Linked DNA regions of Cricetulus griseus. The protein of the gene in region 3 interacts with the protein of the main gene of each other region in a biochemical or structural test. Links are inferred from orthologs where the notes say so. Each region holds a gene or a part of one and is shown on either strand. Other genes may lie near its edges.

Evidence for each region.
Region 1: the proteins of Irf1 (region 3) and Trim28 form a complex in vitro, tested with the Homo sapiens proteins (2 studies listed by BioGRID). The link is inferred for Cricetulus griseus from reciprocal best matches to the Homo sapiens genes IRF1 and TRIM28.
Region 2: the proteins of Irf1 (region 3) and Spi1 form a complex in vitro, tested with the Homo sapiens proteins (2 studies listed by BioGRID). The link is inferred for Cricetulus griseus from reciprocal best matches to the Homo sapiens genes IRF1 and SPI1.

The regions. Positions count from the first base shown.
Region 1 is NC_048602.1:25,608,811-25,612,464, reverse strand, and holds part of Trim28 (transcription intermediary factor 1-beta), read right to left. Parts: intron 521-3,654; coding exon 469-520; intron 354-468; coding exon 170-353; intron 1-169. UniProt on the Homo sapiens protein: Nuclear corepressor for KRAB domain-containing zinc finger proteins (KRAB-ZFPs).
Region 2 is NC_048599.1:85,642,720-85,645,831, forward strand, and holds the end of Spi1 (transcription factor PU.1), read right to left. Parts: intron 3,074-3,112; coding exon 2,886-3,073; intron 2,070-2,885; coding exon 1,904-2,069; intron 1,160-1,903; coding exon 840-1,159; 3' UTR 532-839; downstream 1-531. UniProt on the Homo sapiens protein: Pioneer transcription factor, which controls hematopoietic cell fate by decompacting stem cell heterochromatin and allowing other transcription factors to enter otherwise inaccessible genomic sites.
Region 3 is NC_048600.1:67,924,944-67,927,526, reverse strand, and holds part of Irf1 (interferon regulatory factor 1), read right to left. Parts: intron 1,930-2,583; coding exon 1,753-1,929; intron 1,667-1,752; coding exon 1,617-1,666; intron 1,521-1,616; coding exon 1,391-1,520; intron 1,048-1,390; coding exon 925-1,047; intron 457-924; coding exon 407-456; intron 1-406. UniProt on the Homo sapiens protein: Transcriptional regulator which displays a remarkable functional diversity in the regulation of cellular responses.

The DNA.
Region 1 (3,654 bases), on a different chromosome or scaffold from region 3:
CCCCCTTCCCGCCCCAGCCCCGTGCTGAGGGCGATCGCCCCTGCCGCCTCGTGTAGTGCCATGAGCACCCTCGGTGTGCACCCTAGGTCTGGACTGCTGCACGCTGGCAGGTCCAGGGTTCTAAACAGCAGGAAGCTGCCACCTCGCTGGGGAACCAGGTGTCCCCCACGTGGCAATGGAGAGGCGAGGAGTGAGTGTCCCGCCACTGTCCCGGGTGTGGCCTTTGTTCCCAATCCGTCTGGGGGCCCGGGGCTTTGTCCCCGCCCCAGCCTTTGTTCCTTCCTCCCGCAGCTCAGCGCTCACCCTCCAGCGGGCCACGCCCCCACCAGACCCAGCGCCTGGACTCTCACTTCCTACCTCCAAAAAGGAGGGCATAATCTGCAGGCTGGAGAAGCAAGCACGGGGGGGGGGATGGGGGGAAGTGTGGGCGTCCCGTAGAAGTATTTGGGGAGTATTTCACAGCCCCACCCATAGCTGGCCCCGGGATCTCCAGGGTAAGGGGCCTGTGAACTAAGGCTACCTAGGCCCGGAGCAGATATTAGGGTACCAGACGCAAGATCAAAGTAGATAATGGTGGGGCCTGGGGGTTTGAAAGAGGGGCAGAACGCTTGCTCGCCTGTCCTGTGCAGAGCCCTAGGTTGCAGCACCAGCCCAGCAGAACCAGGGCACGGGATGGGGGTGAGCGGCGGGAGAGGGGCGATGGAGGCCGAGGAAATGGCTCAGCGAACAGAGGCGCTTGCAACCCACCCTGACCCTATTAGTTTAATCATTAATCCTTCCACAAAGTGGAAGGAAAGAACCAACTCCCTCCCTCAGGTTGTCCTAGGTTCCTGTGCATGCGTGTGCACTCACCACACACCCCCCCCCCACACACACACACATACACACACCACAACCAATGCAATTTAATCTTTTCCTTTTTCAAAACAGGGTTTCTCTGTGTAGCCCTGGCTGTGCTGGAACTCACTCTGTGGACCAGGCTGGCCTCGATTTTCACAGAGATCCGCCTGCCTCTGCCTCCTGAGAGCTGGGATTAATGCGGAGCATTACCGCACCCTGTGCAACTTAAAATTTTAATAGGTATTGGTAGAAAGTACAGAAGTAACTATCAGACACCGTCCCCCCAAAATGAAAAAAGCCCTGTAGCTAGCTAGAAACCGGTGCTAAGACCCATGGCAGGACAGACACGGGTTGCATGTAGCTCAGTGCTTTGGCAGGTGCCTGTGATCCTAGCCCTGTAGAGGCAGAGGCAGAACAGGATGAATTCGAGGACAGCCTGTGCTAAATAGTGAAGTCAAGTTGGGATACATAGTCTGCCACAACAGCGACAAAAAAAGCACATTGTTAATTTAGTGAGTTCTGATTGGCCTGGTCTACAGAATGAGGCCCTGCCCCAAACAAAAGGATTAAGAGCATTTGCAACTCTTGCTGAGCATCAGAGGTTCAATTCCAAGCACCCGCGTGGTATCCCACAGCCATCGGTAACTCCAGTTCCAAGGGATCCAATGCCCTCTTCTCACTTCCTCCAGCACCAGGGACATAAAATTATAATTAAAAAAAAAAGAAAGAAAAATCACCAGGCGTTGGTGGTGCATGCCTTTAATCCTAACACTCGGAAGGCAGAGGCAGGCAGATCTTTGTGAGTTCGAGGCCAGCCTGGTCTACAGAGTGAATGCCAGGATAGGCTCCAAAACAACAGAGAACCCCTGTCTCAAAAAACAAGCAAACAAAATATCCAAATACATAAAATCAAAAATAAAAGTTCAAGAAATGTCAATATATGTATTTAGAACACACCAGATAAACTCAGATTAAAAATAATCTCCCTGTTTAAGAATACTGAAATTGCTGGGCAGTGGTGGTGCATGCCTTTAATCCCAGCAAACAAGAGGCAGAGGCAGGCAGATCTCTGTGAGTTTGAGGTTAGCCTGGTCTCCAGAGTGAGTGTCAGGATAGGCTCCAAAGCTACACAGAGAAACCCTGTCTCAAAAAAAAAAAAAAAAAAAAAAAAAGATTCCTTTTCCTAAGCAATAAACGCTTAGATGTTACAGAAACTAAGATATATACATTTTGATGGATGAGGGTGTATTGTGCTGAGAATTAAGCCCAGGGCTTCCTGCAAGTGAGGTCAGCATTCCACCACTGAGCAAACCCCCTAACTTAATGGGGGACTGTAGGCAAGTGCTGAACCTCTCACTGACTGCCTTATATCCCCAGCCTTTTTTGTTTGCTTGCTTTAATTTGAGGCAGTGATTACTCTATTGCCCAATCCCCAAGCCAGTCTTAAACTCCCTGTGTGGCCTGTCAAGCTATTATCTGAGTTCCCCTGCCTCAGCCTCCTGAGTAGCTGGGCTTACAGGGGAATGCCAACATGCCTAGCATTGAAACATCCCATCCGACCCCATCACCATGACCAGACAGGATCTCACTACACAGCCCTGGCTGTCCTGAAACTCCCTTTGCAGATCAGGCTGGCCTATAACTCGCAGAGATCAGCTTGCCTCTGCTTCCTGAGTCTGAAATTAAGGACATTGCATCAGCTTGCCTCTGCTTCCCGAGTTCTGGAATTAAGGATATCCTTAACCACTACTCTTGGCTGTAACCAGTTTTGTTTTGTTTTGTTGTAATACTTTTTATTTTATATGTATTGGTGTGAAGGCATCAGATCCCCTGGAACTGGGTTTACAGACAGCTGTCAGCTGTAAACTGCCATGTGGGTGCTGGGAATTGAACCCGGGTCCTCTGGAAGAACAGTCAGGGCTCTTAACAAATGAGCCATCTCTCCAGCCCCGGCCGTCACCAGTTTAAACTTCATATTAATCATGGTATTAATTATGGTTCTCCAGATGCTCTTGCTCTTCCATTAGCTCCGGATATAAATATATGAAAAGTTTCTACACCCCAATAAGCCTCTCCACTGATGCAGCAATCCAAACCAGACCAAATCAAACCGAATTAGAAAAAGCCCACATTTAATGGATACAACGCTCCCAGATCTCTGACCAGTCCCCCAGAGGGGAGATAGGGGAAGGGAGACCTGAAAACCCACAAGTCTTTTTTTGGGGGGGAGGGGGCAGTTTAAATACCCTGTGGGAGGGGTCTTGAGCTTCTCTGGGGGAGGGTCATCATTTGGCAGGCTTTATGAAATGCAGCAGGGTTTGGAGATAGGGGAGGAGCCTTGGGTGGAGTTTCCACCATAAAAATATATAATATAGCATATATATTATACATATATATATATGTTTGGCTGGGTGTTGGTGGCACATGCCTTTAATCCCAGCACTTGGGAGGCAGAGGCAGGCAGATGTCTGTGAGTTCGAGACCAGCCTGGTCTACAAGAGCTAGTTCCAGGACAGTCTCCAAAGCCACAGAGAAACCCTGTCTCGAAAAACCAAAAAAAAACAAAAAAAAACCAAAAACAAAACAATATATATGGGAAAGTCAGTAATTGGAGACATGGTGATGACAGAAGGAAGCATAGTGAATAGCCAAAGAATGATAGAAAAAGAAGAAAATAGCCAAAGGACTGACTGAGGAAATAGCCCAGAGGTACAGCAGTGTTTGCTAAGCCTGTTCAAGTCCCTGGATTCAGTCCCCAGTACAGCAAAAAGAAGGATGAAGAAACGAGGAACTAAGGATATGTATACTCCGTTG
Region 2 (3,112 bases), on a different chromosome or scaffold from region 3:
TAAACACAACGACCAGAATACTTCACGGTGCCTGGAGCTTTGGACTTAACTGAACCATTTCCTCTTCCAGATAGGCGGAGCTTCCACCATGCACTGGAGTGATGGACAGCCCTGGAATGGACCGGCGTGGCCACGTCCCAGCTGTGTGACATCGAACTAGTTATTTAATTACTTTGTGCTATTGCTATTGTCATCACTACCATCACTACTAATTTGTCGTGTCTAAGTCAGAAGATCATGAGTTCAGGCTTCACTGAGACTTGAGCCTCTGCTGCACAGGGCCTTTCAATATGATCCCTGCCCTGATTAACAGCCTGGGACTTGTTTCACTAGAAACAACCTCTGTGTGTCCATGGTCCCCATGTCTCCAGTCCAGCTTTGGCTATATGTCCTCTGCACAAGTGAGAAGAAAGACATCTGTGCACTGGGTAGTGCACCCTGGACCAGGCACATAAAAACTCTTGAATGAGACTCTGCGCTGGGAGAATAGCTGAGAATAATTTTACTTCTCTTTGGGAGGCTAATGGGTAGGGGTGGGTGAGGGGAGGAAGAGCCTTAAAAAGAGCAATCAATATACAAAGACGCCAGACTCCCAAGGAAGCACCGTGGCCACTAAGCCAGGCTGACCCTCGGGTGGGGTCCGAGGCCCAGGTGGCCCTTGGGCCGGGCTAGAGTCTTGGTGGGAGGCGAAGCGAGGCGGGACGGGCCAGGCGTGGGAGGGCGCGGCCGGGCCCCCAGTCCTGCCTCGGCCCTGGGAATGTCCTCCCTGTGTCCGGGCCCGGCGAGGGGTTAATGCTATGGCCGGCGGGGGCCGGGGGCCTGGCGGGCTCTGCAGGAGATCAGTGGGGTGGGAGGCGCCGCTCGGCCAGGCTTCCGCGGCCCAGCACCTCGCCGCTGAACTGGTAGGTGAGCTTCTTCTTGACTTTCTTCACCTCGCCGGTCTTGCCGTAGTTGCGCAGCGCGCGCGCCATCTTCTGGTAGGTCATCTTCTTGCGGTTGCCCTTCTGGATGCCCCAGCGGTGCGCCAGCGCCTCCTTGTGCTTGGATGAGAACTGGAAGGTGCCCTTGTCCTTGTCCACCCACCAGATGCTGTCCTTCATGTCGCCGCTGCGCAGCAGGTCCAGCAGGAACTGGTACAGGCGAATCTTTTTCTTGCTGCCTGAAGGAGAGGGACACTCAGGTGGGGTGTGGACGGGGCACAAGGACTTTCCAGGAACCGCCCCCCCCCCCCCCGTGACCCTGGTAGGTGCAAGCACACACGTACCCACTCCCACTCACGTTCACACCCCTCTATGTATACATGTCCCTGCACCTACATGTCACATGTATGCATACATGCATATATCTATATCTACGCTCACATATCCACATGCCTATCGACAGGCCCTCACATATAGGCACTCACACATTCACATTTACGATACCTCACACACTCACAAGCCCTCACGTACTCAAGACCTCACAAATTCACAATCCATCACACACTCATAGGCCCACACACACTCACAGACTCTACACACATGCATGGGCCCTCACACAATCATAGGCCTTTACATGCTCACAAGCCCCACACTCACAGGCCCATACACACTCAGGCCTTCACATATACACATACAGTCTCCATTCACACGCTCACATAATACTGATGTCCACACACAGACCCTCACACTTTGAAGAGATGCCTTTTCACTCACAACACAGACTTAGAGACCGGTGCAGTAGAGAATCATCCACAAACATGCGCGCGCACACACACACACACACACACACACACACACACACACACACACACACACACACACACAGCTCTGAAACATGGCTTCTGGGCCAAGTGGCCTTAGCTATAGATATGCAAGGGTTGTAAATGCAGCTAGGATCAGCTGGATCAGGGACTGGACCCTACCTGTCTCCCCATGCAGAAGACCAGGCCCAGGCTCCAAGCCATCAGCCTCTCCATCAGACACCTCCAATGGGGGGCTCTGCCTCTCACCCTCCTCCTCATCTGAGCTCTGCTGGTGGGCCGGGGACAAGGACTGATAAGGGAAGCACATCCTGGGCATGTAGGAAACCTGCAAAGGGAAGGGAAGGCTAGAAGTCAAGAAGGGGTAGCCCAGAGCTGCAGCAGGGGTGGGCTGAGTGAGAGAAGGAGTGCTGGGGTGTGGCCGGCAGGGGCAGGAAAACTGAGAAGGGAAAACTAGAGGCTAGTCTGGACCAAAACTCAGGGATGCAGGTCATGGTGCAACGGGCTGCTAGTTATTGAGCCTACCACCCTTCCCACTGCAGCCTCTGGTTTAGGGCAGGCAGAGGTATGCTTTATTCTCATGTACGCCAAGGGGCCATTTGGCCTGACAGTGGACTAGGAATAGAGGAGTTCTGGGGAACAGTGAGATGGTTATAAGGAAGTGAGTGGGGCTTAATAAGAGAGTGATGAGTCAATGACAAGGCAGTGGAAGTCAGTGAGGGGGTGGCAGACGTCGCTGGCTGGGGTTAGGGTCCCTGGAGCAGGGGACAGTCAGTAATGAAGATTAATGGGGAGCCAGAAGGTCGGTAGAGGCTAGCATTCAGTGACTCAGATGCTGAGATGGTGAAGAGAGTAAATGGGGACTATAGTCAGTGGGACCCTAAGGGCCCACAAACAGGAATGGGTGGGAAAGGCGGCTGAGTGCTGGGGGTCACATGGGGTCTGTCCATCCTCTGTGAGATAAAGGTGTAGGTTCACAAGGTCAGTCAGGAGGTCAGCACAGCCGTTGGGGTACCAGCTGCCGTTGGCTCTGTGGAGCAGGAAGCCACGTTGAGTAAGAGCCTATGTCAGCTTCCTGTGAAGCTTCCATGCCTCACCACAGGCCTGGAGGTCCAGGGGACAGAGGACAGCCAGCGGCACGCACCTGGTGGCTGAGGCTGGCGTGGGGCGGTGCCATGGGGGTATCGAGGACGTGCATCTGTTCCAGCTCCATGTGACGGTAGAGCTGCTGCAGCTGCGGGGCCTGCACACTCTGCAGCTCCGTGAAGTGGTTCTCAGGGAAGCTCTCGAACTCGCTGTGTACATGGTGCGTGGGGAAGTCCCAGTAATGATCTGTGGGGACAGCCAGGGAGGAGGGGGTGAGCCAGGGTG
Region 3 (2,583 bases):
CAAAAGAACTTGCTAAGGAAAAAAAGATTTTTTTTTTTTAGTCATCTTAGTAGAGATCCCAAAAGCTGATTATTGAAACCTGATGTGCATTTCCCAAACTGGGAATGGGCTGGGCAAGCTGGGGCGGAGGACACAGTGCTGATGGGGGCTGACTCAGAGCTGTCTGGGACCCTGAGGCTTGCTTCAGGATGGCCTGCTAGAGACTAGGCATCTCACCTGCCCAGGCAGCAGTCCCCCCAACACACGGGGGTGGGAGGTGGGGGGGGTGGGAGGTAGGGGGGGTGGGGATGGGGGGTGGTACTTGTGGGGCTATGCAGCCAAGTGACAACAGCACCTGCCCACACTGATTTGGAAGCTTTCCCTAGCTTGCTCTCCCTTCACAGATGCGGCATGGAAAAGGATTTACCTTCACGATGTCCTCGGGTAACTTCCCTTCCTCATCCTCATCTGTAGCAGCTGTGAGGAAGGGCAGAGGTTAGCTATACATGTTTGCCCTGAAGTTCCACCCCACCAGCTCCAACCCCAAGCCCCCCACCCAGCCTTCCAACCAGCATCTTGCCTGCCCTGGAGGTTCCAGAACAGGACACTGGCCTGATGACTCACCCTCCCCAACCATGGAGCAAGGCTGTATCCCACCCCTTTACTTCCTTCCTCACCTCAGACAACTGAGGGCAGAGAAGCCAGGAGCACTAGCCACCTTTGACCAAGATGTGGCCGTGGCCTGATTGCCTCCCTCCTGGCCTGGAGCACACAAAGGCTCTAAACTGTCTTGCGTCCCATGGGCTTGTTTCATGCTATGGGGGCTGGGTTAAGCAGTTCCCAGTTCCAGCTCCATCAGCTCAATGGCACGCACATTTCTAAGCATCTACTTCCCCTGCAGAGCCAAACACAAACAGAGGCAGGCCAGGCCCAAAGGGTACAAACCTTCAGAGGTGGAGGGCATGGGCGACACCTGCAAGTTATACAGATCGTTGGTACTGTCTGGCACAATGTCCATCTGCATGTGCCACTCAGGGAGACTGCTGCTGACAACACATGGTGACAGAGCTACAGGAGGGTACAAAGCACAGGTCAGGATGGCATGCTTGCTTTCTTTTTTTTTTTCTTCTGGTTTTTCGAGACAGGGTTTCTCTGTGTAGCTTTGGAGCCTATTCTGGCACTGGCTCTGGAGACCAGGCTGGCCTTGAACTCATAGAGATCTGCCTGCCTATGCCACCCAAGTGCTGAGATTAAAGGCATACTCCACCACCACCTGGCTGATGGCATGCTTTCTTAATCTGCCATAAATCGGCACCTCCACCCTGCAACCTGCTCTAACAGGCTACTCTCTGCTACCACAGTGCCTCTTGGACCCAACCTATGAGCTCTCTTGCCAGATTGGCATCCTCACCTGGGGTAAGGTCCTGCTCCAAGTCCAAGTCCTGACCCAGGTAGCTCTGAGTGGTATAGCTGCTGTGGTCATCAGGCAGAGTGGAGCTGCTGAGTCCATCGGAGGTGTCAGGACTAGCATCTCCGTATAGCTGTGGAGAGAAGACAGCTTAGGCCTGTTGCAGTGCTCTTCACTGCCCACCCTACCTAAGGTGACCAAAGGCTGGGCCACACAGAGCCACACTCACCTTCCTCTTGGCCTTGCTCTTAGTGTCTCGGCTGGACTTGGATTTTCTCTCTGTGGGGCAAACAGGCCATGAGCCCTAGCCGATCTTCCTTCCACCCTTCTTCCCTTCCTTCTGAGGACCCAGTGCCCTTGGTTACCTTTCCTCTGGTTCTTAGTGAGGGGTGGCAGCATCCGGTACACTCGTACAGCCGAGCTGCCCTTGTTCCTGCTCTGGTCCTTCACTTCCTCAATGTCTGGCAGGGAGTTCATGGCACAACGGAAATTTGCCTTCCACGTCTTGGGATCTGGTTCTTTTTCCCCTATTTTGTATCGGCCTACAGAAAGGGAGAGTAAATGCATCCATCAGCTGCTCCCTGGACTAGGTGTACCCCAGACACCCATACTAGTGAAACTAGCAAAAACCACTGGCAATAACCCCCCCCAGGGGGGCTCATGCCCAAGGCTGGCTCAGACATCCAGCAGGCATGTGAAGGGCTCAGTTGAATGCCTTTATTCCAAAATGTGCTCACTGTCTTCGGTTATAACAGTCTCCCTGCTCACACTATCAGCAGCCAGAGACGGCTAATACAGAGGCTTATCTGACGTTTCCAAAGAACACATGTGTACAGAGTGGGCAACAAGGACATTTACTAACAGGTCCTAATTGGACCAAGAACCTGATTCCTAAAAGCCGAAAGGAGGCCACCACCCAGATGAGGCTTGGGCCAAGGCCCCTAGTCCGTACCTTGAGAAAGGAAGATGAAAGTTTCCTTTGGTAGCCTGACTCACAACTCTCTTTGCCAGGAACAACTGTATTCTAGCTACAGACTCCCTGAAGGCATGCTTTCTAAGATTTTCACCTTTATAAATCCTCTGGGAACTTGCTAAAACAATGGATCCCATCCTAGGGAAACACAGGGACACCTCAACCCCTGCTCCAATAATTCTGCATGCTGTGTCGAGGAGCTCAAAGCTACCCAAAGCCTCCA